4 linked regions of the Pelodiscus sinensis genome follow. The protein of the gene in region 1 interacts with the protein of each later gene in a pairwise test. Links are inferred from orthologs where the notes say so. Each region holds a gene or a part of one and is shown in the gene's direction. Other genes may lie near its edges.

What was found.
Region 2: the proteins of ZYX (region 1) and NEBL interact in a two-hybrid assay, tested with the Homo sapiens proteins (2 studies listed by BioGRID and IntAct). The link is inferred for Pelodiscus sinensis from reciprocal best matches to the Homo sapiens genes ZYX and NEBL.
Region 3: the proteins of ZYX (region 1) and IMP3 interact in binary tests that used the Homo sapiens proteins (3 or more experiments, as listed by UniProt). The link is inferred for Pelodiscus sinensis from reciprocal best matches to the Homo sapiens genes ZYX and IMP3.
Region 4: the proteins of ZYX (region 1) and TUFT1 interact in binary tests that used the Homo sapiens proteins (3 or more experiments, as listed by UniProt). The link is inferred for Pelodiscus sinensis from reciprocal best matches to the Homo sapiens genes ZYX and TUFT1.

Annotation. Positions count from the first base shown.
Region 1 is NC_134711.1:137,760,378-137,768,319, forward strand, and holds the start of ZYX (zyxin), read left to right. Parts: upstream 1-4,447; 5' UTR 4,448-4,571; intron 4,572-4,746; exon of another isoform or gene 4,747-4,882; intron 4,883-5,034; exon of another isoform or gene 5,035-5,201; intron 5,202-5,286; exon of another isoform or gene 5,287-5,439; intron 5,440-6,229; exon of another isoform or gene 6,230-6,323; intron 6,324-7,942. UniProt on the Homo sapiens protein: Adhesion plaque protein. Binds alpha-actinin and the CRP protein. Important for targeting TES and ENA/VASP family members to focal adhesions and for the formation of actin-rich structures.
Region 2 is NC_134712.1:221,699,297-221,707,166, reverse strand, and holds the start of NEBL (nebulette), read left to right. Parts: upstream 1-4,579; 5' UTR 4,580-4,802; coding exon 4,803-4,862; intron 4,863-4,952; coding exon 4,953-5,024; intron 5,025-7,870. UniProt on the Homo sapiens protein: Binds to actin and plays an important role in the assembly of the Z-disk. May functionally link sarcomeric actin to the desmin intermediate filaments in the heart muscle sarcomeres.
Region 3 is NC_134713.1:12,402,558-12,409,891, forward strand, and holds IMP3 (U3 small nucleolar ribonucleoprotein IMP3), read left to right. Parts: upstream 1-5,056; 5' UTR 5,057-5,121; coding exon 5,122-5,679; 3' UTR 5,680-6,508; downstream 6,509-7,334. Other genes in the region: PLA2G7 (platelet-activating factor acetylhydrolase), read right to left, coding at 778-902, 2,995-3,085. UniProt on the Homo sapiens protein: Component of the 60-80S U3 small nucleolar ribonucleoprotein (U3 snoRNP). Required for the early cleavages during pre-18S ribosomal RNA processing. Part of the small subunit (SSU) processome, first precursor of the small eukaryotic ribosomal subunit.
Region 4 is NC_134734.1:14,990,582-14,998,631, reverse strand, and holds the start of TUFT1 (tuftelin), read left to right. Parts: upstream 1-4,836; 5' UTR 4,837-4,933; coding exon 4,934-4,993; intron 4,994-8,050. UniProt on the Homo sapiens protein: Involved in the structural organization of the epidermis. Involved in the mineralization and structural organization of enamel.

The DNA of each region.
Region 1 (7,942 bases):
ACCTTGAATGGTCCCTTGAAATATATGTCAAAACTACTTATGCCAAGTGATCTATTCAATCATATATTTAGCAATGACACCTGGAGTTTCTCAGACCTGAAAAAGAGTTCTGTGTAAGCTCCAAAGCTTGTCTTTCTTACTAATGGAAGTTGATCCGATAAAAGTTATTACCTCACCCACTTTGTTTCTCTAATATCCAGGACCAACATGGCTACAAAAACATCGCAAACAAAAATGGCATAGGACATTCAACATGGCATAGAAACATATCTTACTGCAATGTACACTGCACAGATGTAATTCATAAAGGCAAAATGGCTAATTTAAAAATAAGATAAGAGACTCCAAAACCCAGTAATGATTGGCGTTGTCTATATTCTGAACAAAGGGAAATCTCAACTATGCCTGTAGTTGCTTCTATAACTTCACAGGGACTCAATAAACATTTTAGGCTCAACATTCCTGGAATCGTATTACAGGCAGTCCCCGACTTACGCGGATCCGACTTATGTCGGATCCGCACTTACGAACGGGGCTTTTCTCGCCCCGGAGCTCGCGGGCGGCGGGACCACCCAGAGCGCAGCCGTCCCGCCACCAGGGCGAGAAAAGCTGCTCCGGGTCTCCCTGGTGTACTGGGGGGGACTCCCCAGCATAGCAGGGAGACCCGAGCAAAGCCGCAGAGGCGGCGGGGTCCCCCGCCTCTGTGGCTTTGCTCCTGTCTCCCTGCTGTGCTGGGGCGGGGGGAAGAGTCCCCCAGCACAGCAGGGAGACAGGAGCAAAGCCGCAGAGGTGGCGTGACCTCTGCGCCTCCGCGGCTTTGCTCGGGTCTCCCTGGTCTGCTGGAGGCGAGGGGGCGCAGCTAGTGCACCCCCCCCCCAGCAGACCAGGCTTTTGTTGCGGGATGCCTGGGGTAGAGCAGCTGGGGTGCTGCCGGGTTGGTCCTGCGGGGACCTACCCGGCAGTGCCCCAGCTGTTCTGTCCCAGGAGTCCAGATTCAGCCGCTGTTGAAACTGATCAGCGGCTAATTCCAGGAAGCAGGGGGCAGAGCAACTCTGCCTAGGGCTTCCTGTAGTCAGCCGCTGATCAGTTTCAGCAGCGGCTGAACCTGGAGCCAGTTCCGACTTACATACAAATTCAACTTAAGAACAAACCTACAGTCCCTATCTTGTACGTAACCCGGGGACTGCCTGTATACAGATTACTTATATCCCAGTACGGGGTTGAGAACCAAGAGATTATGGCCCCATTGTGCTAAGTATGGTACATAGTCCAAGGCAGTCCTCCTGGCCCCGAAGAGCTGAGTCTAAGCATAAGAGATAAAGGGTGGAAGACAAAAGGAAAGTATTATGCTTAAAATCGGTTACCAGCAAAGCCAGTAATAGAATTCATATTTCCCGAGCCTTTGGCCAGTGCCCTATTGTACCGACTACTAGACCACACTAAGGTCTATGCTTTTGCAGTCAGAGCAGCTGGGGCTGGAACTCTGTTGCCATAGCTAGGTCTGTCTAGTGCCAACCCAAGTAGCTGACAGGAAATCTCTGAAACAATTATGTGTTTCATGAGACCCTTTTGTAATGGCTTTTGTTAGAAACTACCACAGCCCAAGACTGTCTCAGCAGGGTGGACTGTTTTCTCAGAGTCCAGACTGATGCCAGTGTGTGGTGCTTTCCCAGGCCCAGTGACATAAGCCTGCAGATGGTTGGTGAAGTGGACAGATTCTCTAAATTGGTGTGCTTTTCCTTTTGGGGCACTGTGTTTAAGAGGGAATAGTGTGTGTAAGGATGTGGCCTGACCACAATACCCCAACATGAAGCACAGATTGTCCATCCATACTAGATATAAGAGTGTTAGGAGATCTAAGTTGAAACTTTTGGTATCATAGGTATGATCCAAATAATGCAAAAGCCATGTGATGTTCCAGCACAGCACGACTCCAGTTCATACATCCTACAAAATCATGTGGTACATGAAGGCTACGTCTACACTGGCCCCTTTTCCGAAAGGGGCATGCTAATTTTCAATTTCAGAATAGGGAAATCCGCGGGGGATTTAAATATCCCCCGCGGGATTTAAATAAAGATGTCCGCTGCTTTTTTCCGGCTTGGGGAAAAGCCGGAAAAAAGCGTCTAGACTGGCCCGATCCTCCGGAATAAAGCCCTATTCCGGAGGATCTCTTATTCCTACTTTGAATAGGGCTTTATTCCGGAGGATCGGGCCAGTCTAGATGCTTTTTTCCGGCTTTTCCCCAAGCCGGAAAAAAGCGGCAGACATCTTTATTTAAATCCCGCGGGGGATATTTAAATCCCCCGCGGATTTCCCTATTCTGAAGTTGAAAATTAGCATGCCCCTTTCAGAAAAGGGGCCAGTGTAGACGTAGCCAAACTGTGTCTGGGGACAACCAGATTGTAACTGGGATTCCTGACATGTCTGCATTTATTGCATCATAACAACAAAATTCAATCACTTGCATATGAAATAAGTCAATATGGTTAGTCCCATTTCACAGACAGGAAAATTGAGGCATACAGAAGTGTAGCGATTTGCTCAAGGCTCCATAACGTTTCACAAGAGATCTCTCTATATAAAAAACACGTTTCCTGAAGGATAACAGAGCAACATCAGCACATCACTCTGCATCCTGCCGCCCGGAGTCCTTCCTACCTCCCTGACTCCCTGGTGTTCTGGGGGACAGGCAGGAATCACACGGCCTCCCCAGTACTGGGGCAAGCAACCATGCAGCCTCCTCAGTGCTCCAAGGGGGGGGGGGGAGTGGAGCAGGAGCCATGTGGCCTCCCCAGTGCTCCGGGGGGCAGGGCCGGAGCCATGTGGCTTCCTCAGTCCTGGGGGGAGGGTAGGGGGGTGGGGCGGGGCAGGGCAGAAGCCCTGTAGCCTCCTCTCTTCCTGGTGTTCCTAGGATGGGCAGGAGCTGCATGGCCTCGCCCCCCTACCTGGTGTTCAGGGGGGCAAGAGCCCCACAGCCTCTTCCCTCCCTCCCCCCAGGGACCAGGGGAGCACCAGTGAACAAGAGAGAGCTGCACGGCCTCCCCCCTCACAGGTGTTCTGGGAAGGCGGAGGAGGTTGGTGAGCGTAGAAAGCAGGAGGGGTCCTAGTATACAATTAAGGGTTTGTTTCTTCTAGGGTTTCCAGATTCAGATGTAGCTACATCAACATAGCTGCATCAGTACAGATCTCTAGTTCAACTTCAGACACACTGTATCAGCATAAACTGGGATTTGAACTAGTGTCTCTCAGGTCAGACCAGCTTCACCAGTGCAAGCCCCATGTGATACTAGAGGCATGCTCTGTGGTAGTTACACCAATGTTGCTGCTAGATAAATACCTCAATGTAAAAAAATCCTAAATTCTCTGAGCATTGCAAAGATTAAATGACAAAGATTAATCCCTTGGAAATTTAGCAACAATAGGGGGCAGAAAGCCCAGTATTACTGCCAGATTTCAAGGAGAGAGCATGGTGTTTATGCAAAGAACAGGAATTCCCCCTTGGCTCCAGACTTGGAACAAATAAGCTTAGGGAGGCTGCCCTGCAAAAAAGGACCCAGGGAAAGAGAATAAAAGAAAACCAAAGATGGAGAATTTCAATAGTAAACTCCTTCGTGCAGGGACCAGACCCTCTGGGTGAGGTGCACCATTGAGCACTCACACCATCCATGTTCAGACTGAAAACAAAACCTAATAGATAATGCTGGAATGGTTTGGGAACAATGTGGATCTTGCAGGTCAGCAGTACAATGTGCAAAGCACAAGACTAGAATAGCCAGTGACATGGCTATCTAAGGATAAGGGGCATCAACAGAGCTGTGCCAGGACACTTGGGTCTGGAGGAGGCTGTGCCCAGGGAGCTAAGTGGGTTGTTCAGGTGCCCCCACCTCCTGTCTGGTTCTGAATACATGAGGAACTACATTCCTTGCAGTATTGCTGGTTTGTTTTTTAACAGCGTCTGTAGGATTGGAAAAGTCAGAGTCAGATGCTCTTGCAGCTGGTTGCTTGGGGAGGGGCTAGGGAAGGGGCCAGAGGGACCCTGCCTCCTGACTCACAAGAGCTGCCGGGCCTCTGCTTACGTGCAGTGGTTGAGACTGGAAATGAAGTCACTGGTGGGGGGTCACCAGGTTAAGGAATGGGGTGGAGGTTAAGCCTGGAAACACCAGTTGCTGAAAAAGTTGGGGAAGGCGGAGGCAACCCAGCGCTGGGGCAAGAGATAAAACACAAGCGTGCGGGGGCGCCTAACTGAGGGGCTTTGCCTAAGCTGAAGGGAAGACAGGAGTGGAGTGGAAGGGGCTGGGAATCAAGACTGAGCCGCAAGGCCGGCAAATCTCGGGGGAAATAGGGAATCCAGGAGTGGAAGGAAAGCAGGGAGGGTATGAAATACAGGCCTCCCATAGCAGCGATAGGAGGGAAAGCTGACACCTCCCTCCCCTCACAACACAGGGGGAAGGGCAACGAGAGCTGGTTGTAAGAGGGAGAGCGTTGCTGTTCTCCCCCACTCGTCTCTCAACAGTCCTGTCTAGTGTATTCATCCTCCTCCTCCTCTTACCTCATTGCCACATTCCCTGGTGAGTGAGCTCAGCTGTTCGCGCAGCCTCTCTCCTTTTATGGTCACACAGCTTTGCTTGGGCGAGGCCTTTTTGCGAGATGCTAGGAAGTCCTGGGCTCTGTAGTCCCCCCTCCTCCAAGTCCTTCCCCCTCCCGATTTGGCAGACAAGCAACCGAAGCTGGTTCTGATCGCTGTGCAGGGGGCAGAGCGCGGCACGCCCAGGCGCTGGGAGGGCAGAGTGGGGCTGGGCTTGCGTGCTAGCAGCACTAGAGACTTTACAGGCAGCTACAAACTTTTAGTCCAAGAGACCCAGCCTGCTCCTCCCCAGAGGTGAGTCCCCTCTCCTCCCGCTTCCTTTGGGCAAAAGTCCCGGCTGAAGCTCGTTGCCTCCTAGTTTTATTGCAACTTTATGCTCAAAAACTAACTGCGGTTTTTTGGCAGCAGGAAAGCTCCCCTCCCTCTAATTTCCTGCCCCACGTCCTGGGGCTGCGAGGCTGAACCTGCTCTTGTGTGCGCGGTCGGTGCTGGTGGCACAGCTTGGGCCGCTCTAGTTAGCGTTAACTTTATGGACTTGGCGTCTCTGTCTCCTTTTCCGGGGGAGCCTCATACTTTTGAAAGCCTGACTAAGTTGCCAACCCTGGGCTGGCGGGTAAGTGCCCCCAGCCGCCCCGTGGAAATGAAATACCTAAGAAATCGCCTCCTTCCCTTTGTAAAACTAGCAGCCCGCGGGGGCGGGGAGGGCGCGCTGCCGAGTCGAGACGCTGCAGTGTGAGTGAGACCCCTAGAGCCTTTTTCCAGATGTTTGGGTGGGGAAAGAATCCGAAACTTTTCGAGACTCCTTCATGTCTCCTCTGCCCTGCCGGGGAGGAGATCTGAGGAGACGGGAGGTGAGTGCCTGCAAATTTGTGACTGTCTGGCGCTTGCAATATGTCTGCATGTTTCTTTCTTGCCGTGCTGTGTAGCGAGGAACGGGGAGACGCGGGTGTGCAGTTATGTGACTGCTACAGATTCACTCCAGGCCTGGCTTTGAAAGTTCCCCTTTCCCCGGTCCAATCCCTGACTACAATTTACATGCCTGGAAATGAACTTTCTGGTGGGGAAGGGGAAGTAGGAGTCATTAGGCAAAGGAATGGGTGGGGGTGGGGTGGAGATTGAGTGGAGAAACACCAGTTGCTTGAAAAAGAAAGGACTTTGCTGTTGCAGGGACGCAGGGTGGGTTTTTTTGTTTGTTTGTGCGTGGTGTGTTTGTTTTTTTGCTATCCAAGCAAACTTTGCAGGATTAACCAGAGTTTGATGGGGTGGAAACACATGTGACTCTGTTTAACTGGGGGAAAAAAGAACACCCCCCCCCCAAAAAAAAACTGAAGTAAATCAGCTTCTTTCACTTCATATTTTAATAGCACATCCCCTTCATTTTTCATTTGGAGGAGGTGGGTGACTTCATGCCAGAGTTACTGGATTATGAAACAAAAGCCCCCTCCCACCCAAATACTGCCTGCTTGCTCTGAGCTGGGATCCTCCCTAGGGAAGGAATCATTTTGGAGAACATTGGGGTAGGTCCCTGCCTTTGCTTTCCATTCTCTGCTCCTGGGTGGGGTACAGTGAAGATTGGCCAGTGAAGTTCAGGTCCTGGGGTCACACACCTGAGACTGAGAATTGGTTGGTTCCCTTTCATAGAATCATAGAGCTGGAAGAGACTTCAGGAGGTCATAAAGTCCACCCCCCTACCCAAGCAAGGCAGGACCAATTCCAACTAAATCAACCCAGCCAGGTATGTCACCCAGTAAGTATGGCTTAGGTCAGGACTTACATCGAAAATAGAGCAATCTGTGATGGCCTTAAGAGATTGCTTTCATGTAACCAGTGCAGCTATAGCCAATGAAAGGCTCTAAATCTCAATTTCTGGCTTTGGTGCAACCTTCCTCTAGCCCAGGGCTACTCAACTTTGGATGCCCTGGGGGCCCCAATGGTACTCACAGCACATGCTGAGGAATGCAACTTAAGCATGGTTGCATATACATGCAAATATATATGCAAATAGCTTCTTTCCCAAAATGCCCCAGTGCTCCCTGCACCTCCTCCCTGGGGGCTAGAAACACTGACACCCTGTACCTGTCTGTTCCAGCCAGCCCATCCGTTTGCATCTTTCTATGCTTACCCCTCCTGGGAGACATCTCGCCACTATGGCGCGTGTTCCCAGTGGAAGGCATGTTAAAAGGATTCCAACCACCGGCTGTGTGTTGAGCCCCATGTAAACCCAAACCACAGTGCAGGCTACATGTTCAATAGCCCTGCTCTACAGCTGTGTGGAATCTTCTGATTATTGTAGATGTCAGAACATCTCTTCCTTTGTGGGAGGCTTGATAACTAAATCGGGCTCAGGCCTGCCTAAGTGGCATTCCCTCAGTAATTGTACACCATAGTAGAACTGTGGGGAGACCATAGAGGAGGTGGATCAGTCTAAAGGCATGCTAGGAAGGCTTCGATCCATGGCAGCTCCATACTCCCTTCCTTCTAATAGGGTGACTGGTGGACAAACAGAAGAGATGCCTTCCTGCTGCTTTTTAAGCAGAACTTGGGACAGGCAGGGGCAGCTGCAGGTGGAAAGCTGCTGTGAGGAGAAAGAAGCTTTGGCCTAGATAAATGTATGTGTATTGGAAGGAGGGGGAAGGAGGCTGCTCTGGGGTCAGGGAGATGGGAACAGCTGCTGGCAATGACCCTAACGTATCTGCATGAAGCAGCTGATGTCCCATACTCCATCTCTCTAAAGACCAGCTCCATTATAAAGTGTGATCATGTGGAGACTAGGCTGTGATCTTCAAGTACCTACACAGGAAAAGATTCTAATGGCAGTTTCTTGAAACAAGCAGGTACAGGCATAAGAAGATTCAATGGCTAGTGATTAACTATTTGAACAGTTTACCAAGGGCATAGTGCGTTTGCTATCACTTAGTTTTTAAATGAAGACTGGATATCTTTCAAAATGACATGCTTTAGCTCCAACAGAAGCAGGATCACTGTGTGAGGGAGGATGGTCTGTTATGCAGGTCACAATAATAAGGCCATTTTTTGGCTTAAAATTTGGTAACCTGCTCTTCAGCATCCTTATGGACTGACCTGGGGAAGGGGGGAAGCATCTTGTGGTCTATGCTGATGACCCTTCTTCCCTAACCTGCCCTTCAGTTGGATATGAGAGAGTTCTCTGGGGCTATGGTAGGGGAGGGTGGGTGAGGATTATTTCAACACGCACAGCCCTGCAGGGATATGCAGAAATGATCAGCAAATATAAAGTAGTTAATTTGCAGGGCTCTAGATACAAAATGTGTACCAGCATCCATATCTGCAAAAATGATCTGCAGCTACCCCTATCCATGAATGCAGATATCTGTG
Region 2 (7,870 bases), on another chromosome or scaffold:
TTTACAAATCCATGCTGGCTGTTCCCTATCATCTTGCTACCTTCCAAGAGTTTACAGGTGATTTCCTTAATTACTTGCTCCATTATCTTTCCTGGCACAGAAGTTAAACTAACTGGTCTGTAGTTTCCTGGGTTGTTCTTATTTCCCTTTTTATATATGGGCACTATATTTGCCCTTTTCCAGTCTTCTGGAATGTCTCCTGTCTCCCATGATTTTCCAAAGATGATAGCTTAGAGGCTCAGATACCTCCTCTATCAGCTCCTTGAGTATTCTAGGATGTATTTCATCAGGCCCTGGTGACTTGCAGGCATCTAACATTTCTAAGTGATTTTTAACTTGTTCTTTTTTTCTTTTATGTTCTAAACCTCCCCCCTTCCCACTTGCATTCACTATGTTAGGCATTCCTTCAGACTTCTTGGTGAAGACCAAAACAAAGAAATCATTAAGCATCGCTGCCATTTCCAAGTTTCCTGTTACTGTTTCTCCCTCCTCACTGACCGGTGGGCCTAACCTGTCCTTGGTCTTCCTCTTGCTTCTAATGTATTTATAAAAAGTCTTCTTGTTTCCCTTTATTCCCGTAGCTAGTTTGAGCTCATTTTGTGCCTTTGCCTTTCTAATCTTGCTCCTGCATTCCTGTGTTGTTTGCCTATATGTTCCAAAAAACGTGAACTTATAGCAAAACAACTTAAAGTGGGAAATGCATTAGTTCCTACAGGCATCAACGACTTTAGTGCAGAATGGATGTATACCCGAGCGACTTATAGCGGGGACACCCTGTACTCCAGATGACATTTTGCAAAATAACTAGTAAAAAACCCCAAACCCACTATGAAATGTTTCAGCAGATCAGAATTGACAGAGGGCAAAGTAGCGTCATACCACACTGATGCTAATAATTGAAGTTCTTGATTACTCAATTTATCTGTTTTTCTTCTCCTTTAGTACATTGTGGTACACACTACATAATACATCTGTAAGAGTAAGCGTCAGGGTTTTTTTTTTTTTTGCTTGCTTTTTAAATCCTTGTGCAATTGGGTTGTACTAAATCTATGATGATTTTATGCTGGAAAGGCTGGCTGTGGATTGCAGTATTTATACTGGAAAGTGTTTTCTTACTAGAGCACAAGGTAAGTGCATGTTTTTGTGGTTAAACTGTGGGAAAACATTTATGATCATTTTAGTGATGTAAACAGTGTTAGGGTAAATTCAGGCTATATTTTATGGTAGTACCTCTAGTTTGTTTTTTACTAGAGTAAAAATAAGAGCAACATAAATGATAGCTGTCCCACCTTCTCAGAAGTGGCTGGCGTGTCCCTCTCTGCTGCCTTGGGGTGGGATCAGGGGGCCTCTGCACTGCCCCTACCCCAAGTGATGGCTCTGGGAGCAACAGCCAACGGGAGTTGTGGGGGCAATGCCTTCAAGCAGGGGCAGCGTGCAGAGCCACCAAGCTCCCTTACCTAGGGGTTGCAGAAAGGCTGCTTTGGAGAGTGATGTGGGGACAGGGCAAGCTGGAAGCTTTCCTTGGCCCCACTGCACTGTTGATCAGCCCCATTAGGTAAACGCCTGGCCAGAGCCTGCACCCTCACCCTCTCCTGCACCCAACCCGCGCTTGAGCCCTGAACTTCCTTCCACATCTAAACTCTCTTCCAGAGTCCGTACCACTTCTGCACCCCAATCCTGTCCCCTAGCCCCGAGCCCCTGCTTCACCAAAATTCCCTTCCAGAGCCAGTACCCCATCCTCCATCCAAAACCCTTCTCCAGGCTCAGCCCAGAGCCCCCTCCCACACTGCAAACCCTTTATCCCCAGTCAAATGAAAATAAGTGAAGGTTTGGGAGAGCAAGTCATGGAGGAAGTCATGGTTGTGGGCCTTGCAGAGGGGGTGGAGGAAGAAGGTGAGGCACGGGTGGGTACATGTGTATAGACAGGCACCAGGGAAACTAACACTCCTACCCCCTGCATTTTAAACTATGTAGTCTTAGTTTTTCTTAACAAATCTCTTTCGGGACTGTATTTCAGTGAGCTTATTGCCAAAAGAGTTGCTTCTCTGTCACTTTGTTGGATGACATATTATCCAGCAGAGCCCTGTGTTTTTGGTGGACGGCCGGCATCTGATAGTGTCTGCTTAGTGCCTTCTGTCCCCTGGAGACTGCCACACCGAATCGTTCTATATTGTATTATAGCTGTGGTGGTGTGTTGTGGCATGATTTCCCTTCCACTCCCTTAGAAATTGTAATTTTGGCATTTCTTTCCTCAATATGATTAGTTATGAAACCCTCAATTCTCTAGATGTGTAGCTAATGGAAGTCTGCTGAAAGGTCCAGCATATTTGAATAAACTGTGGGCTGGAGGGAGGAGGAGGCCTATAAAAAATATAGCTGATCCTGCTCTTTCAGAAATAAAAACTTAGATTATGGTAAGGAAAAAGCTGATCTTGCTATGGAGAAAACATTGCAGGAAAATTACAATTAAGATGTAATTACTGTTGCATCAGTACTCTGAATATCCATTATTTGTAGTGTTAATCTTTTAAGTAATCTAAAAATCCAAGCAGTTCAGAATTTGTAATTTTTGACCAGTTGACTTTCAGTGGAAAAATAGCAGCTTAGCCCATGCTGAAGTTTTGCAAAATGTAGCAATTACTTTTATGCTTATTAAAGTCTCCTCCATTCTCCCTTAATTATTCTGACATCTTTCCTTTCCAAATATATTGAATTTGGGGGAGGAACAAGGAAATTTTAAGTGCAGAGCCTTTTATTTATAATGCAGAGATATTTGCGTTTTTCAACATTTCACCTTGGTATCAACACCAGAAGTCCACAACTCATCGCTGTACTGCATTTGTGTTGTCTATAACAAGTGCTCTGTATGCCAGAGAAGCGAATTGCCACATCATGTAGCAATTACTATAGTTGCCCAGAAAGACATTTATTATGCCTGACATTTGCAGAAGTGACCAGTTGTTGTGAGTGCTTGACCTCACCATTGTAGCAAAAATTGTCCAATTGTTGTTGTTGGAGATTTTGGGGCCCAATTTTTAGAGATGCGGTATGTACCTACAGCTCCTAAAGAAGTCAATGGGAAGTGTGGCGGCACAACAACTCAGGAAATCAGGCCTTATGGGTGTCAATTTGGGTGCCCACAATGACTGTCACTCTCAAAATGTAGGAGCTTATTTATTAAAACAGCAAGATAAGTCATTTGAAATCTTTGTCTATCATTAATGCATAAGTGCCTTCTGTCTGTGGGTTACAGTAGGTTGAGAGTTGTCTGTTTTTCTCAAATATTAAAAAACTCTAAACCTCCTTATACTTTTTGCTCAGGCACAAATGTTCTGTTTGTTTTCATGTCTTTTTCTAATGAAGTGCTCTTGTTCCAAACAACAAATGGGAGGCATATGTTAGCCACAATTACATTTTGGTATTTTGGGAAGTTTACATTCAAACACTACACATTCCTTATGTTTTCTATGTGGATATCGGCTCCAAGAACACATAGAAATCTACTACCATAGACCTGTGAGATGAAGCCTGGATGTGGACTTCACTGCAGTGGAATCTCTTTGTGGGATGCAGTATGAAGTTGTGATGTGATGTGGTAGCATTAGGAAAATAAAATCACATTTAGAATGATTGTCGATCCAGCTAGCTTTTTTACTTTGAACCTTACAATACATTCGTACAGAGCAGCAGGTGAAATAACTTCTTCTAGTAGTAAGGCAGCTTCCATTCCAATAGATCTATGCTCAGAGCAGCTGGGGCGCTGCCGGGTAGGTCCCCACAGCGCCGCACCTCAGCACTGCGGGGATCAACCCAGCAGCACCCCAGCTGCTCTACCCCAGGTGTCCCCAAGTTAGCCGCTGCTGAAACTGATCAGCGGCTGATTCCAGGAAGACCGGGGGAGGGGCAGCTAGTTTCCCCTCCCCCCCCCCCCCCAGCAGACCAGGGAGATGCGGGTGGCGGGACCGCCGAGACGCGCCGCGGTCCCGCCCGCGAGCTCCGCGGCTTTGCTCCGCGTCTCCCTGGTCTGCTGGGGGAGACGTAAGTCGGATCCGCGTAACTCGGGGACTGCCTGTATATGTATGATCATGGTATATTATCTTCTGTAGAGTGTTGATATGTGTGTATGTATGAATATTACTTTAGCTGATATGAGGCCGGAAGCATTTTAAGAGTATTGAAAGGAACATTTTAGATTTCATCCTTACAGAAAGGAACCTTTTCAGTTAGGAGCATGAAAAATAACATATATTACATTCTAAAATTACATTTAATAAAGCATTTGTGAATTATCCAAACTCTCTGTATTAGAAAAGTAAGGGTATATGTTCCTTTTCTGTACAAACTTTATTTAGACTGAGTGAAGAAGTTTTATGACAGCTGATTTGGGGTCTGAGATATCTTAAAAGCTAGAACTGAATGGTTTCCCCATAATATTAGGATTCATGTCACCCTTTTGAGCCAGCTAATTTCATTAAATTATTTACCTTGCATAGTTACTGAATTACAGTGCTTTAATTAAATGTGTCTTAGACATTTAGGCATTGTTTACTTATACTTTATCTGTAAGAAAGCACTAGCTCGGTTAGCAAGGCCATCTGTAATGTCTTCTAGGTCACTCATATGGAATTTTTCTGATAAAGACTTTCAAGTGTTGTCTAAATAAGGAAGAAGCCTTGGTAAGGTTAAACTTAGTGAAGGACACAAGAGGAGCCTACATCATAGAAAAGTAGTAGAACATAAACAGTTTGCTGTAGCAGTGGCCTTTTACATTTTTAACTATATTTTTTAAATATTAAAAAAGAATGCCTCTCATTCAGGATTTCAAGGAGGATGAAAGTGAAGAGGAGGAAGAAGAAGAAAAGGTGGTGGCAGTGATAACTGAAAAGGAGCTTCTTTTTTCACTGTTTTAGGTTAGTGATATTGAAATGCTTTCTTTTTTTTTTTTTTGATAGGTGTTCCTTAAGCCTGTTATTGAGGACAGAAACATGGAACTGGCCAGAAGATGCACTGAAATTATAAGTGATGTAAGTGATTGTAACCATTTGTATCCTTTAATTAAATTCCTTTCTTTAAAAGTTTTTTTGTATTATTCTTATTTCTTCGTATTTGTAAAATGTAGCTGGAGGTGCCCATCCTAAATTCTGAGCGCCTGCATGATAGAGTAAAACATACAATAATAATATAAAGGTGCTATCAAAGAATATATGTATGAGGAAACTCCATTAAAGAGTGATAGTATCTCCTAAAGGCACTCAGTTAACAAATGCCAAATGAGTTATTAAAGGAATCTAATGTATGTCTTTATTTGGCACACATACATTGGATCAGATCCTTAGTGGTCATAATTTTGAGGAGTTCTATTTTACATCCGTTTTATTTGTCAGCTGAGGACCTGGTCCTCTGAGTGAATTATGAAAGTGGAGGTTTGGGTTTGTATTTATTGTGGAAACTTGAGTCCCAGGAGGAACTTTGCAAATGTGCAGTAATTGAGGTTCTGTTTGTGATGGGATTGCTTTCCTTCGTGGATTAAGTATATATAGTTACTAACAGCAAGATAAACCATTATATGAGAGATGGTGATTTGCCTTTAATGATCTTTCTAACCAGCTCTAGGCTGGGATGTTTTGGCTCTTGAGTAGCAGGACTACAAATTGGGGGCTGGTTCACCTTGTATTATAACATGATGTATAAACATTTTGTGACACTATTATCCAAGGTGAATAAGTATGTTGACTTTGTGAGATTAATACATGCAGAAACTAGACTACAGAGGATGCAGAAAATTCATTACTGGAGGATGTTTATTCAGGAAGAATAGATGGCCACTAGAAAAATGATTAATCTGGAATGGAGTTATCATGCTGGGTAGAGAATGAAGCTTGAAAGGGTCAAAACTTTTTTTCTGCCTGAATGTTGTGTGGGAATACGTTAATTTTGGTGTGGGCTGGGTATTAGATACAGCCTTAAGAGAGGCCAGTAAGATGATAACTCAGTAACATCAAATTATCTTAAGAAGTTATACAAGTTATATTAATATTTTTATCAAAGGTACTAATGGTTATCCATGTGTTTTTATTGGAAAGGTACTGAGTTTAATACAATACAAGCCTGTCAAGTCAGATAAAAGCCACAGTGAAAATGAAGCATTAAGTTGACCTGAAAGCCATTTATTCTTTCAATACTACTCATTTCTAGACGTAATTGATTGCTGTCACAAAGTCAAAAAATACCCTGAACAGTGCTGATAAACTCTTTCTTTAAATTAGGAATTATTATTGAAAAGTGTATCGGTGGTTGTGGTGGCTGCTGCTATTGTTCAGTAGATAAATATTATGAATATAACTTTCTTTCATTTTTTTTGTGTAGGTTTGGAGGCTAAAATGAATAAATAAGTTAAAATGAGCTTCAAACTCAGTAATGGTTCAGAGAGGCAGCTTTTGGTGAAAGTGTGTGTTAGATTTTCACTGAGATATGTGAAGCTTTCAAAGGATAATGATTCCTAATCCTGCATGATATTATTATAAGAAGTTGTAATGGTCCAGAGCCAATATAATATGAAAGGGAATTCTTTTTAATATACTAAAATGGAACCCACATTTTGAGCCTGATCCATTACTCACTAAAATCATTGGATTTGTTTTTATTGGGTATAGTGGGTATTAGAGCAGGTTCAAAGTAAATTTTTTTAATCCTTCCAAACCTTCACCCTAACTGAATTTTCACTATCACTAGAAAAGCCCTACAGTTCTCAGGGAGGAAATTCCCCCTCTATAACTTCTTCATTCTAGGAATGGTGCCAGAATCTCTTAACTCTTTTTAGTTACAAGAAGACGCACACAGCTATGAAGCTGCTGGCAGTTTCTAGGGGAATTGTCTTCACTTGCTTCTGCCAGCAGCTGCACCAAGTTTGGGAACAGAGCACAGTGAATATTCCAGTTTGCTTTTGGATCCAACCATGTTTATAGCTCTTTTTTATAAACATTTTACACAACTATTTAGGGAGGAGCTATTATTCACGCAAATATGGAGATGGATTAGTGTATTTACTTGGTAATGAACAAAATTTACCTGAAAACCTCTCTCTCTCTATACACATACACCCATGTGAACACACACGCACACAGAGGCTTTCAGACCCAATTTGCTCATTGCCAAGTGGAAAATGTGGAAGGGAAAGGGACTTGCAATGAAGGTAATACGGGAAAGTCCAACAGAAATAGGTTTTAATGACTTTGTGTGGCTTGCAGTTTTACCCTAAAATGACATTGTGATAGCTGGAGCACATGACCTTATGACTACAAGCCTGGGTTATTTTCTTTCCTTCCTTGCGAGGCTGTCAACACATATTCTGTCAAAATGGAATGGCATGATTGCTCATAGCTTGAGATATAATGATGGTGGTATTCTCATCTTTCATGCTTTAGTATCTGACTTGAAATTGGCACTATTATTGTTAAAGCCCTTTATGGCATGTAAGCCTCTGGTCTTGTTCAGGGAGGTATCTGTTCTCACATGCCACTGTTCCAACAATTCTTCCATTGCAGTCAGCCGATGTTCACACTTTGTGATGATCCCTATGTTGCTTCCCTCTCAGATACATCCAATTTAATTTCTTTTAATTAAATAATAGTTTTAAAGATGCCTTTAATTTTCACTTATGTTGGACTTTTGCGTGACTTTCCTTTCTAGCCCCTTTGCTTTCAACATTTACATTGGATGCCTTAATTTGTTTTTATTGTTCTTTTTTAAAAGGGGATATGGGTGCTGTTGTGGGGGAGGTAGGAAGCTGAATACAAATAAAGTTGTTAAGCAAATAATCTTAGTCCTTTTATAGAAGGAAAATAGCTTGCCTCTTGATTCATCATACTGT
Region 3 (7,334 bases), on another chromosome or scaffold:
CTTAAATGGGGCCTGATGTGTAGTCTTGCCTTAATCTTTGTATTCGTGCCCATATGTGTAAAAGAAGCTATTTGCATATATTTGCATATATATTTTTGCATGTATATGCAACTACACTTAAGCTACAGCCGTCAGCATGTGCTGTGAGTATCATTGTGGCCCCCAAGGCTTCTAAAGTTAATTAGCCATGACCTAACACATTCCCCATTTTCACTGTGCCAAATGGAACGGTAAGGAGGAGTTTTCCTGCCTCATTTCAAAGAATTCACTATGGTGAGCTATATGAATTCAGTGGAAGTTACAAGCCTAAATAACTTTGAGGAACTGGACTAAGGAAGATTGCCTTAGCTGGGAAAGCTGGATCAGGCTCTTAAATTGCACTTAGAGATGGATGGTGTATATACAGTATCTGGACATATTTATCTGTCAAATCCAGTTTACAAAACCTGCATCCTAGTATCTGACAAAATCCATCAATTTACAGTATATTTCTGTCATTACAGCCTTACACTTCCAGTGATACTTGTGCCACAGTAGTCATCTTATGTCATTACTCTTACAGAATTAATGAAAATGAAATATTTTGTACACAAAAAATAAAATGCCTCAGAGCTGAAGCAGGCTTTGTCCTGCTCCTCTGCACCTGTGAATTTTCACTTATCAGAACCAGGGGAAGCTTCCATTTAATAAGTATCTCATAATATGATGAAGGCTGCCATGTTGGACTCATGGCTTATGTAAAAATAAAGGAGTGAGAGGACCTTTTGGCTTTCATACCTGAGTTGTGTGACCAGTCATCAGATCCGTGCAGCCAACAGAGTAAGGCCCCTTCCCCCGAGGAATTCTATACATCTTTGCAGAGTTCTTGCTCTCCATATCCTTCTGTGCATTAACACACAAACCTGGGGGTAAAACACAGAACAGGTGACTACCACCTCCTTTGCATACCTGCTGAAGAGGACATCACAGCATTACAGATTCAGGACTTTGAGATTCAGGGCTGAGCTGACAGTCAAGAGTGATGAGAAGCAGGCAGAGGATTCATAGATTTTAAAGCCAGAAAGGAGCATTATGATCTCCTGTGTATCTCAAGCCACAGAATTTCACCTGGGAGAGTGTTGTGTGGAGGAGCCACAGATAGCTGGGAGGGAGGAGAATGATGAAGGGAGGAGTAAGAGAGCCAGGGGCAGCGATTATTAGAGTGACACAAGGACTAGGAAGCTGGCAGAAGCCTGGGATTGCTGTGGAGATGAGTGGTGATAGTAGACCTTTGATGAGGCAGGATTAGCAGTTCCTGAAGTAGCCTGCATTGAGGAGTTTGACTCATCCTCCCCTCTTCTAGCATTTGCTACCTCCCCATGTTTTGCTTGTCTACATTAGTGTTCTCCACCCTAGCCTGTCCTTTCAGCTCCTACTTTATTCTAACCCCCAAGGTGCTCGCAGTCTTTCAACCCAACACCCATCCTGTGTCTCAAGACTGACCTCCTTTTCCCAGCTAGCTTCCCCTTGACCCCTTCCTCTTTGCTCCTCCCTACTCCTCCCGGCTCCCTTGCCAACAAGAACACCTCCTCCTTCCAAGTGCTCCATGTTGGTTTGCATCCTGTCACAGGCGAGCTGCAAGAGCAAGGGGAGAGGCCGTTTGGAGGTCTGAAATTCCTCCACTATAGCTGTCCCTGTTGGCCAGGAGGAGAAGTTCCTGCTGAAATTCCTGCAAACCTGCTTGATATGTGACATGGCAGCAGGACTGTGGATCAGTATTAACAGGGCTTCTGAATATGTCTCCTGTGATCTCAGACACTCTGCAGGCCAGCCTTCAGCAAAGCCCAAAGGAAAAAGCCTGGTGGTGACCTAACTTATTCTACCTCCAGATTAATCCTTCTAAGGTGCATAACAATTAGTTGGCGCAGAGTGCACCGGTTGATAGAGTTGGTAATGTTTATAACGCACACTGGGATCGACTAGAAAAAATGCTATCCCTTCCTTTACCGCAGGGGTGGGCAATAATTTTTGACAGGGGACCACTCCAAGATTTTGGAAAGTGGTCGAGGGCCGCACACTTCCATGATATTAATGGAGGAGGTAGAGGGTCTGGGATGGAGGTTGGGTGCAGAAGGGAGCTTGGGGTAAGGTATTGGGGTGCAGGAGGGAGTTTGGGTGAAGGAGGCAGTTGTGACCTAGGGCAGAGGACTGGGGTGCAGGGGTTTGGTTTGTGATCTAGGGGAGGGGACTGGGGTGCAGGAGTTTGGGTAGTGACCTAGGGTAGGAGGGGATTGTGATCTGGGAAAGGGGATTGGGATGCCAGATCTGGGAGGGGATATGGATGCAGGAGAGGGTCAGAGGGTTTGGATATGTTGAGTGGGGGGGCAGAGGGTTGGGGAAGAGAGGGTCTGGGGTGTGAGAGGCAGGTTCTGGCCAGGAGACTTATCAGCCAGTAGATCAACCAGCCTGCCTGCCCTGCACCTGCACCTACACATGCTTGTGTGAATAACTGAGCTGAAGGAGAGGGGGGAGGCATGGTGCTTTGTGTGCTGCCCATTATTCAAACAGGCAGCTCCCACTGGCCAGTGTATGGCCAGAAGCCAGCCAATGGGATTGTGCTGGGGGCGAGAGCAGTGTCTGAAGCCTTCCCCCATTCAGTTTTTAAAGAGAAACGGACCTACCACCACTTTTGGGCTGTGGCGCAAGCTAGGGAGCCTGCCTGGAGCTCCACACTGTGTCCATGGGCCAGATCAGGTGGCTTAGTGGACCAGATCCAGCCTGTGGGCTGTACATAGACCAGGCCTGCACGAAGAGGTCTCAATTCTGCAACTGCTTCTTTAGGACACTTCATGTGTGGGAGTTAATTAATGGGATACATAATAAACTGACAGCCTGCACATTTACTAAAAGCTTTCAGGTAACAGGTGCAAAATCACATTCTCCCCCCCCCCCCTTTTTTTTATTAGCCTCCTACAAATAAATAATAACTGCGCCACTGAAGGATACATTTCTTACCTGCTAATTGAATTTGTCCCAATTTCCCTATGCTAGTCCAGAGCAACCAGTAACGGAAATGGAAAAGTAAATGAAATTTTGAAGACTGCATCTTCTATTCATGCAACTTCTCAGTGTTTCAGCTTCATGACCTTTGCCAAAGCAAATAATGTAACACTATATAAACAACAAGTATTCAAAAGCAACAGATATTTAGTTTTGTTTTTAAGGGTGACATCTGGATTAGCAAATGATTCAAAGCCTCCAGTCAGTCTCCTTGACCATTCAAACCTTGCTAAGACTGCCAAGAGAATCAACTAGGAAGCTGGTTTTAGTGATGCGAATTCTTGCTTCACTACAACCAGAACTGAGAGCATCAACTCTTTTCACATAGCACACCCACCAAAAAGCCATCAGATCATAGTTGCACTGATGGTCATTGCAGTCCATTCTGCGTTGCGCCTCCTGTATTCTGGGATATAGTGGGACCCAGTCCAGTCTCCAGCATAATTTAGAGCATTTCCTTGGCATATTTTACATTAGTTGCCAGGGCCCCCTATTGATAGGTAAGGCAGAATTCATCCCTATATATATATATTGCACCCTCCCCACACACACTCTCTCTCCAGCTGAAGGAAAAGGAGGGGGGGGACATTGATTGTTTGGTCCTGGGGCCCAGAATTGCTTTTGTCAGCAGGCCTAGGAATAGTTAAGCTGACCTAAGTCCGCATGTAGACAAGCACTAGGTCAACAGAAGAATTCTTGGAGAGGTGGATTATCTGCCCAATGGGTGAAACCCTCCTGATGATATAGGTAGGGTCCACACTGAAATGCTACAGCAGTGCATCTGTGCCACTATGGTAAGAAGAGCCCTCAGTCCTCATCTGAAAAATGGGAATACTACTGTTTCCCTAATTCACAGCAGTGTGTGAGACACTTCATGATTTGTAAAGTTGCATAAGAACCTTGTATGAAAAGCATGACAGAAGCACAAAGTATGTTCTCTCAGACATTTTTGAGCCTTTAAACTTGTTATACTTGAGTCAGTAAAGAGGCCGGTTGAGTCACCTAAGACAGGCATACCCCTAAACACAAAAGGGTAGCAAAAAGTATCCCAGGATAGCTGATTACAATAGTCCAGAAGTTATTTGTGCCACATATTCGGAAAACTGAAACCCAGCACTAGAGAAGATACTTGTATTTGGAATCTCTCATGTTGGTTAAAAAATGCTTTTTTCTTCAATTCTGTCAGATGTTTCTGGACACTGTAGTAGCCAAACAGTGGGTCTGGTAGCTTGCTATGTCTCACCGCCCCTCCCCCGAGTTGCTTTAACTTTGCTTTCATGGTGCAAGGCTGCCTTGTATTTGCCTTTAATACACAACTGTTTAGTGGGTGTATACACAACTTTAATACACAACTGTTTAGTGGGTGTATACACAACTTTAATACACAACTGTTTAGTGGGTGTATACACAACTTTAATACACAACTGTTTAGTGGGTGTATACACAACTTTAATACACAACTTGGGAGGCCACATCAGCACTGGGCTGGTGGCTGTAAAGCAGGAGTGGGGATCCTTTTTTGAGTGGGGAGCCACTGACGCACAGAAAAAACAGTCAGGGGCTGCAGACAAAAACCCTTCACTGGCATAGCCCCCAGCTAAGGAGAAAGACACTCCCCACATTCCCCCTGCACACCAGAGCTAGGGGGACCCAGCCTGGCACATTTTGAGTACTGGAGCCCCATGGTGGAGCAGCAAGGGGGGGGCTGGAGCACCAGCACAGGCTCCCCAGTTCAGGGGCGATCCTGAGCCTCGGGGGCCACGCCCATGCAAGCGCCCTGGCGCAGCACCACTCTGTGCAGAGGCTCGCGACCAGCCAGCCAGCTTGGCGCATGCGCACCGAAACCACCACCCGCCTGGCAGTCCCTCTCTATCCCGTCATGCGTCACTCCCCAAGCCGCCGCTCTTCTTTCCCCCTATTGAAAACGTGACCGGCGGCAGGCTCCGCTTCTTTCTGGCCAATGAGAGAGAAGGGCAGCAAGCCCCGCCCCCCCTTGCTCGGAGAGCCGGAAGTTCCGGTTCCCCCCCCCCCCACTCGTGGTTGCTAAGGGCCGCTCGCGCTCGTAGCCTCCCCGGCGGCAGGATGGTGCGGAAGCTGAAGTTCCACGAGCAGAAGCTGCTCAAGCGGCTGGACCTGGTGGGCTGGGAGGCGGCCTCGGGGAACCTGGCCGAGCTGCGCGTGCTGCGGCGCTACCGCCTGCAGCGGCGCGAGGACTACACCCGCTACAACCAGCTGAGCCGCGCCGTGCGCGAGCTGGCGCGCCGCCTCCGCGACCTGGGCGAGGCCGACGCCGCTTTCCGGGCCCGCTGCACCGCCGCGCTGCTGGCGAAGCTCCACGGGCTGGGGCTGGTGAGCTCCAAGCGCTCGCTGGAGCAGTGCGACCGGGTCTCGGCCAGCTCCTTCTGCCGCCGCCGCCTGCCCAGCCTGCTGCTCCGCCTGCGCATGGCCCAGAGCCTGCGCGACGCCGTCACCTTCATCGAGCAGGGCCACGTGCGGGTGGGGCCCGAGGTGGTGACCGACCCCGCCTGCCTGGTGACCCGGGCCATGGAGGATTTCATCACCTGGACCGACTCCTCCCGCATCCGCCAGCACGTGCTGAACTACAACCAGGAGCGGGATGACTTCGACCTGGCCTGCTAGCGGGGCAGGGACCCCTGGGGGTTGCTGGCTAATGCACCCCACCATCCTGGGAAGAGACTCGGGGCCCAGATGATGTGCCTCTCCATGCCACGGAGAGCAGTGCTACCCAGGGGCCAGCTCGTCTGTGTTCTGCCTGTCCTTGCCAAGAGATGCCTGGCCTGGTTGTCTTAAGCCTGCTCCCCTCTCTCTCTCTCTGCAAAGGGACTCAGTACACTGTTGTGTCACCAAGTCTGGTACCATGCACCTCCTCTGTGAAGGAACTCCTTGCCCAGATGGACCAAGCCTGGTACCACCAAGATAGGCCCAGCCTGGTACCACCCACCTTCTCTGCAAGGGGACTTGTGGCTCAATTATGCCATCGTGCCTGCTGCCTGTCCCCTCCCATTAAAGGGATTTCTGACCCTGATGTCATTACTACGATGAGCTATTAAGCAGATGTCATAAGTCACTGTCCCTAAGCCTCTGCCTCTGATGTGATGATATACCCTCCTGCTGCAAAGGCCATTAGCAAAATAGACTGAATGCTGTTATGTCATCACCACCAAAGGGCCATCTAGAAGGGACTGATGAACAAATGGCTCTCCTGGCCAGATCTGTTGTTCAAATGTGATGTTAGAAGAGATACAGGGTTTTATAGTTTGTCTTGTCAAAGGACTTCTTAACCAGCTTCCCTTTTGCTTCTCATAATAGTCCTTCTTTCAAAAATAAATCAATGGGGATAATTCTGTTTTCAGAACTGATCTTGGCTAATTATGCTAACGTTGTAATCTGCAGCATTATCTACACCAGTCATCATAATTTATATGTAATAAAACTGAAATTCAGATTGCTTCTTAGAAAATCTATTTAATTTCTTGAAAGCAAGAACTGAGCTCTTTCTTGGTAATATTTTTCCCCTGTCCTACTGTAGTAACATTGAATGTGTTCTGGTTTCACTGCTGAACTGGTTTCACTACTTAACCAACAATTAAATCTAATTGAATTTTAAATGGTTCATTATTAATTTACCTGTGGATTTGCAGGCACCTTTCCTAGGTATGTTCTGTCTTCGTAACAATCACAAATGCATTTTCTGTTGTCTTTATTGTTAGTGTTCTGTTGCATAGTATCTATTACATCTTGCAGATGTATTGTTTATGCTACTTATGTGCTAAATACTTTGCCCCAAGGAGCAAAGAAAGCTAAATCCCTTAAAGGCCGGATCTACTGGTATAGCTGTGAGTTAACACTACGGGGGGGGGGGGGGGGGGGAGCCCTAGGCAGATATACCAGCATAAGCACTTGTTTAGCTTATTTTGTTTGGGAAACTGGTAGCAACTGGTCTCTTGACTAGGAAGTAGAAATATACCAGCAGCTCCTTTCTAGTGTGGCTAAGGCCTTAGAATAAATAATGTGTATGTCTGTTACTTGTCTAGGCACTTAGATGTCTGTTAATATAGAGTCTGGGCATCTTTCTTTATTCTTACAAAACAGTAGCATGGTGGGAGAGGTACAAATGTATACATGTTATAGAGGGGAAACTCGGGCACAGAAGGACTAAAGGCTTATCCTGACTTCACAGGAGAAGGGTATCAGAGGGGTAGCCATGTTAGTCTGGATCTGCAAAAGCGACAAGGAGTCCTGTGGCACCTTATAGACGTAACAGATGTATTGGA
Region 4 (8,050 bases), on another chromosome or scaffold:
GCAGGTTAGGAGAAATGTTTTCAGTAAATGTTTGAGATAGTAACTACTCATTAAACAACAGTGTCCTCTTAAATTCTGTGCAAATATCAATTTTAACTGAGCTTTAAAAGGCCCTACATATTGGTTTCACATGCTCCAGGTGATGACTTCAGATGCTGTAGATAATACAATTCACCCAACAGCAGAAACATGGGAGGTCAAAATATTTACGAGAAGTGAAAAAATGAACAAAGAGTTTTTAATTGAAATATTTCAATCTTATTCCAACATGCACTTTGATAGCAATCTACAAGCCATAGCAAAGCTCTTATGTAAGAAAAAAGGTGCCAAATTAGCTAACTTATACTCAGGGAACGTTTCGTTGGTTTTTTATAAAAAAAGGATAGATGAGAATGTCTGCACTCAGACCCTACTCAATCTTTGTCATTTATTGCAATAAATAAAAACGTAGTAAAACCAATTTTCTCCAACGACTGAGAAATAAATTTTATACAAAATATTGTTCCAAAATCTGTTATATATGGAAAAAACACCTCCTACAGCTCCCAGAAGGGTGGGGGCCTGAAGAACATTGCAAACGAAGGGGCTATAGTTGTTTTAATTTTAGAAAGTATTTGCTTTTGAAGGTTATTGGTCAAAGAGCGCTTGGTTGTTTCCATATTCAAAAGAGTATCAATAACGTTGATATTTTTAGTTAAATAATTTTTTCTTATGATAGTGATATTGTTCAATAAAGGGAAACTGTTAAACACTTACGGTTTCCAGTCCATTTATATATTTTATTAAATAATGTAAATCGGCTTACAGGGCAGGTGGGGGAGGACTAGACCCATTCTGGGCACCACCAAAAATTATACAAACCTGCCGCCACTGACTGCTGCAACAGCTTGGTCCAGCCTGGGCTGCGGCCCAGCCTCCATTTGGCTGCAGGGTCCTGTCCCCAGCCCCAATTCTAAGGCAGGCACATCTGGCTACAGGAAGGGCTGGCGGCAGCCCCTCTCCCCGCTGCGGCACCTGTAAAAAGATGCAGTAGTGGAAGTCCCATTAAATAAAGTCTGTGAGGACAATGTTTCATGTATGCTATTATTAATCAATAATATTAAGTTGTATATCTTCAGTCATGCACATGGGCATTCTTGTACTGGCTCTTTGTTGACCACTTGTTCTGAATGTTGATGTAGTTTGGCTCTTTGGTTTGAAAAGGTTGCTGACCCCGGGCTTACATGGTAGGTAACTGGTTAACTGGGCCCGGTAGCAGGAACCAGGACAGGGCAGCAGGTGGGTCTGCAGCGGTCCCCATGGTAGACCTGGCAGCCCCAGTCCTGCAGCCTGGGACAGGGGCAAGCGGTAGCTCCTGCCCTACCAAGCCCCGGTATGAGCAGAATTCTGCATGGCTGCCCCAGCCCTGGCGCAGTCCAAGCAGGGGCAGACGGGATCCTGGCCTGGCTGCATTGACAGCCCTAGATCTGTGCTCACTCAAGCTGGGGGCCAGACTCCGAAACCTGGCAAGGAAGGAGGGTGCAGCTTGAGCCCAAATGTCTATGCTGCTGTTTTTAGCCCCACAAGACTGAATCAGCTGTTCTGGGTTCGGAGACTCACTGCCATGGAGTGGAGGGGTGTATGTACTGCATCATGGATGGACTCTAAGGGACTTCAGAGTTCATGAAAATGTCCCCAAAACTCTTTCTGTGCCCTCAGGTCTCCATCCACACAAAGGGGACAATAGCATTACCCTCTAAGGGATTTCTGAGGATCAATACATGGAAGACTTTGACATGCTTAAGTACAAAAGCTCCCCCCCCCGGCCCCGTGACTATCTAGATCTATGGTGTCCAACCAGTTCTGAAGGCACTATAGTGGCAACTGCTATAGTGAACTAGCCACACTCAACTGGCCAGATAGCCACATGTGGCTAGCATGTTGGACAACATGGATCTATATGGATGAATGGAAGAATGTGTGTGCCCATACTCAGAAAGATGTAGCATGGAGAACATAACAGCCATACTGGGTCAGACCAATGGTCCAGCCAGCCCAGCATCCTGTCTCCTGACAGTAGCAATGCCAGATACCCCAGAGGGAGGGAACACAACAGATAATCCTCACATGATCCCTCTCCTGTCACCAATTTCCAGACAAAAAGAGGCTAGGGATACCATCCCTACCCATCCTGGCTAATAGCCATTGATGGACCTAACCTCCATGAATCTATTTAGCTCTTTTTTGAACCCTGTTAAAGTTCTAGCCTTCACCACATACTCTGGCAAGGAGTTCCACAGGTTAATTGTGTGCTGAGTGAAGAAATACTTCCTTTTGTTTGTTTTAAACCTGCTCCCTGTTAATTTCATTTGGTGACCCCTAGTTCTTACATTGTGGGAATAAGTAAATAACTTTTCCTTATTCACTTTTTCCACCCCAGTCATGCTTTTATAGGAGGGGTTAGTGTCTCCCTGCTGCACATTGGGGCTACAGGCTCTGTTAAAAAAAGCAAAATAGGGCAGGGGAGCTCTTGCCCCACTCCTCATGTGGCTTTGTGAGGCTCTCTCTCTCTTCCCCAGTTCTGTTCTCACACGCAGCAGTGAGCTGGCACGAACATAAAACCCCGAATAGCTTCTTTCTTCCGCTCAGCTCTCAGAAAGAGACAGTCTGCTTCTCACAGCAGCTCCTGGAAACTTCATTGCCGCGCCCCAAACAATCCCTCAAGCAGCTCGCTAGATCTCTTTCCAAGTCCTCCCTTGCTGAACCACAAACAGAGGAGAGAGAGTTGGATGGTTACTCACCCAACACCTGCAGAGAAAAGGACCACAACCAACCAGGGCAAATGGGACAGATTCAGTGCAACAATTAACTCCTTCTTCTTCACAATTATTATAATGGAGATTGCCTATCTCCTAGAAGTGGAAGGGACCTTGAAAGGTCATCGAACCTGGCTTGAAGGAGAACTGCAGGCCTTGGGAGCAATGGTGGAGAAAACAGGAGGGAAAATGGGACTGAGTGGTTAGAGCATTGGTGTGGGTGCAAGGCTTTCAGGGCAAGTCTGGTCTAGTGGCTAGAGCAAAGGAGCAGGTGTTAGGACTCCTGGGTTCTCTTCATGCTGGATGAGAATAGGAGGCAGGACACATAGGTTCTTTTGCTGGAGGAGGATAGAAAATGATCCTGCTAATGCTGGACAGAAAATTAAAAACAGAGGAGTTATCAGTTCTGTTCTTGACCCTGCCACTGTCTTGCTGGTTGACAGAGAATACAACCTGTGTGCCTCAGTTTCACTTGTATTAAATGTCAATGACACTTGCACCTTCCTCAAGGGAGTGGCTGTGAGTGTTAATTAATAAATATCCTTGGTTGAAAAGGTGCTAGAGAAGCATGATGTTAATATATGGCAGATCAAATGATTAGATTTCTCTGAAGATACGTAAGCGAAACTCCAGAATGATCTTTGAGTATGAGCTAATTAGGCAGCAACTCCAGTGTAACATGCCATTCAGAAGTAAAGACAGCTGACTTCTATATCTTCTTTAACCAGTTTTGCCATTAAACTGCTCTTTGACATACTTCTGCAGGACACAATTTCCCTTCCTTTCTTCTTGTTTTGGGCTGCAGCAGGTAAAGCTACTTTAATACCCCTCCAAAGCAAGTGACTGGAAAACAATTATAAGTCATGTCAAAGAAATGCAAGATTGTTCAGGTTCATGGATTGCATGCATCATGCATGTAATGTTCTGGGTACAAATGACTGCAGAATTAATTTAGAAACAATATCTGCACCCTAAATTTTGAAAATAGCAATAAAATTAAGATATGCATTATATGCAATATATTCAATTTAAAAGAGTAAAAATCTATTAACTTGTATGTAATATACCTCCCAGTACAAATAACTGGAAACCACAATTAAAAATTCTGCATTGCTTTTTCATACAATTGTTTGACACAAATTGAAAACATCTGAAATTTTTCATTTTTTGCATTCCAATTAAAACCAGTAGAATCAAATGTAAATATTAAAAATATATTATGTGTAAATGTGAATTAGTTACCCCCAGGAGAAATATCTTAGAAAATATAAATAATAGCCATGAATTTTTCCAAGTAATATCCTCCAATGCAAATAATTAGATAAAAATTTAAAAGAGCTCAGTCAGTATTTACCAACTAAATGACATGCATTAATTTACAGATATTATCTCCAGTGCAATTTTGCAGCGGGGAGGAGGAACTAAAATACCATACCTTAATTGACTTGTGCTATTAAGGAATACATAATTAACAACTAGAGCCAGACATTATCGGCACAGCTACAAGCATAAAGCTGGCCTGTCCATATACTGAGTGTGGATACATGATCCCGCCCCATCCATTGGTTTGCACAGAATAACCCACCTCTCTACACAGTAATTTACATGCAAGACCCTACCCGGCTGCATTTATTTATATGCAAGACCGCTGCCCCATGGGGCGCTTCTTTGCATATGCAAAATCACACCTCGCTGTACACTAGTCTACCTGGAAGACCTGCTGTGCATTTATTCCCATCCAAGACCCCTACCTCTTTGTATTAACATACGAGATCCCGCCCTATTTTGCATTAATTAACATCCCGCCCTACTTTGCATTAATTTCCACACCAGGATCCCAATCGCGGTGCAATCGTTTACGTGCAAGACCCCGACCAGCCTGCTTCCAGCAACCCTACTCCTCTGGGACACCGCGCGCCGCCCCAGCCGCAGCCCCTTCAGCGCGCGCCCTAGGCTCACTAGGAGGCGGCGCGTGCAGGGGGGGGAGGAGGGAGGGAGCGCGAAACCGGCTCAACCGAAGGCCGGAGCCCGCCAGTCGGGGCGTGGCCTGAGGGCGGAGAGGGGGCGTGGCCATATATGAGGCGCGGACGGGCTCGCGCGTCGCTCAGTCGCTGTTGACTCGGGGCTGTGGCGGAGACATGAGCAGGGCGCGAGGCGTGTGCGCGCTGGTGGAGATGCGGCCGGACACCCAGAGTCCGGTGAGCCGCCTCCCCCGCGCCTGTGGGGCTGGAGCCCCTTGGGGGGGGGGGGTTTCCCTGCCAAAGGGCCGGGCGCCTCATCCCCCCACATGGGGGAGATCAGGGCTGGGCTCCCCATACGCTGAGGTGCAGGTGGCTCGCTGGGGATCCCCCCTCACTCCCTAGGCACTCCCGTGGGTGGTTGTGCCCCCTTATTGCCTTGGGGGGGCCCCCTCCATCCTAGGTGTTCCTCGAGCTCGTTGTGTCCCTCCCCTTGGTCTGGAGGGACCCGCTCCATTCCTGGGGGGCTCCTGGAGCTAGTCTCATCCCCTTCTGACTCCAGGGGGGACCCCCTCCGTCTTCTGCTTAGGGTGGGTCTGCAGGTTCCTGTGTTCCTCGTGGGGCCCCCTCCTGTGTGTGTTGGGGAGGAGGTTGGAGGTTGGGTCTAGTTTCCTGTGGCTGTAGGTGGTAGCCCCTTGAATCCTGAAACTGTTTTGGGGGGGTTTCCTGTGGCTGGCGTAGGGACCCGTGCAATTCCTGGAGGGTTCCGGCTCCCATTCCCCAGGGATGTCCACCTGCTTGCAATGGAAGTGGCTATGGAGTTGAGCATAGAGTTCTGTGGTGTTCCCTGCGGGAGAGCTGTGTGATCTGTGTCTGAGATGAAGATCCGTGCCCTGATGTTTAGGGGGTAGGGTGGACAGGAGGGAGGGGATAGCCCTTTGTAAGGAAAAAGCAGAGAGTCTCCAATAACCAGAAAGCCTTTCCTGTAGCTTTCCTTGGTTGTCCAAAGCTGCGGTAGACAGCTCCTGAGCTGCTTGAAAATAGGAAGGTTATGACCTTCATGCAGAACAAACAGGGCTTTGTTTCAGTCTCTCTGTTGCAGTTCCAGATATTTTCCCCTCCTTTTCTACTAATTTATTTTGGCTTGTAAAAATACTACAAATCAGATTGAACTCGTATCAAACTACATTATCGTTAAAATATTTGTGTCCTATAATCTTGTATTGACATACAGGGTTCTTATAAGTCATGATTTTTTCCCCTTTCTGTGGTACAAGCTAGTGCTTCAAGTGTTAAATGCTGTCACTGTCAACAGAGTTTGTAGATCAGAATATTCTTCAGGCTAAATCAGAAACCGTTAACCACCCTCACTAGTGTGCTGTACTGTGTGTTATATTTTTTTGAAGAAATTTTAGGCACTCTAGGTCTCTGGTGATGGGGCCAAGTAAGGACCTAGAAAGAAAAGTAGGTGCTAACTGTACAAGGATTAGTGCTGGCTACATCTTTATAAGTCTTTCACATTGATAAATACACAAAGTATATAGCACTTCTTGATGTCCTGCCCACAGATACAGCTCGTATAATGTTTATTGTGTGTGTGGGAAAATTCATGCAGACAGCAAATGGTTTTGATATAATGTAGATGTCACATAACAATATCCAGATTGTGCTAATGGAATTGTGTGTTTTATGTGGAGTTTATTGAGCCTGCAGTCAGGGTGATAATAACATTGGAGATTTTAATAATAAGATTTGAGTAATCTAGGCATCTGCCATTGCTGGTAGTAATTGTGTTCTAGTTGTTGGAAAGAAAAGGGGGGTGAGATAATATCTCTTACTGGACCAGCTTCAGTTGGAGAGAGAGAGAGAGGAGACATGTTTTTAAGCTTACACAAAGCCGTGCTTCTGGACTGGTTTATAGTTGTTAGTCACTTTACAAGTAGCCTCTGTTTTGTTTTTGTTCAAAGTCCTAAATTGTTCTCAGGCAGCATTCTGATCTCTTATTGATCAGAATGCCATTCTTGTTGTGGCTGACATAGATTATTGGTTCTTTGGATTAATGATGAAGCAAAAATTAAAATATGCTGGATCTGATCAAGCATATTTGGATTTTCCAGAACCCTTAGTTTTCTAGACACAGCTCCAGAAACATCAGATTGTCTATTTGAGTACTGCAGACAGTCTGTCAGTCAGTTGATTGAATTTTCTTTCTACTATATAAACGTTATTGGATAAGAAAAAAGCTAGATTGTTAATGTCTTGGGGAGAAGGCCAGCCAGGAAAAACATGGCTCCCATAAATGTGTACTGGATTTCTCCTATTCAGTTGTTCAGCAGAACTTTAATTGTTTCGTGTTCAATTTCTCATTCTCTTTGCCAGTATCAGTCCTTGGGGCCTTTGTTCTTACTGAAAGTGACTCATCTTTGAGTCCTCTAATGAGAGAATCCTAACTCCCTGCAGCCTTTCCCTTCCATATATGGAACAGTTGCAGTGTTGTGCACATGTATTGCATAACATGTTGTGTGGTACTGTAGTAATAAGCAACCCTCTCACACCTTGCATCTTCAACACTTGGCAAACGTTACCTAATTACTCTTCACAATACTGTGCTGGTCAGTCTTGTTCCCATTGATAAATTGGCACAGATTAAATGACTTGTCCAAAATCACCAAGTTATTAAGTGCTGGTGTCAGGGTTTCCTGGCTTTCAGTCTCTGGCATTCTTCCTTGGGCTTAAAAAAGACAATTCTCCTCTTATTTGGCTCTCCATTCTCTTTAGAGAACAACATAACCTGACTTTAACCCAGGTCTTTAGTTCTCCACTAACCTTCAGTTTTCCTAGATTGTCTTTCTTGCTTCTAAATACTCTTGGGGTAACTGAAACGTACTTTGCTGAGCAATGCACAGTATCGCTTTTAATTATTTAACTTACCTGCCTCTGTTAGTTTCTTGCTTACTTTTGTTTTTGGTGGGTTTCATAGTAATTCATAGATTGTGATTACAAAATGAGGCCTAAATTTGGACTCTCTAAAATACCTGGAATCCTAGTTCAGCTATTGACCCTATTTCACTTTCCCTCCATCATCGGTTACTTTATATTGTGGGGAAATGTCTACATTTGGATGATTTTAAATCTTATGCATTTAAGAATCTGAGACTGTCACGCTGTTAGATTAGATTACTAGAGCCCTGCACAGATACAAAACTTTGTATCTACATCTGAATGAGCAAAAATTAACCACAGATATCTGCATTGGCATCCACGGATGTGAAAACTGGTGGATATGAAGTGGATATC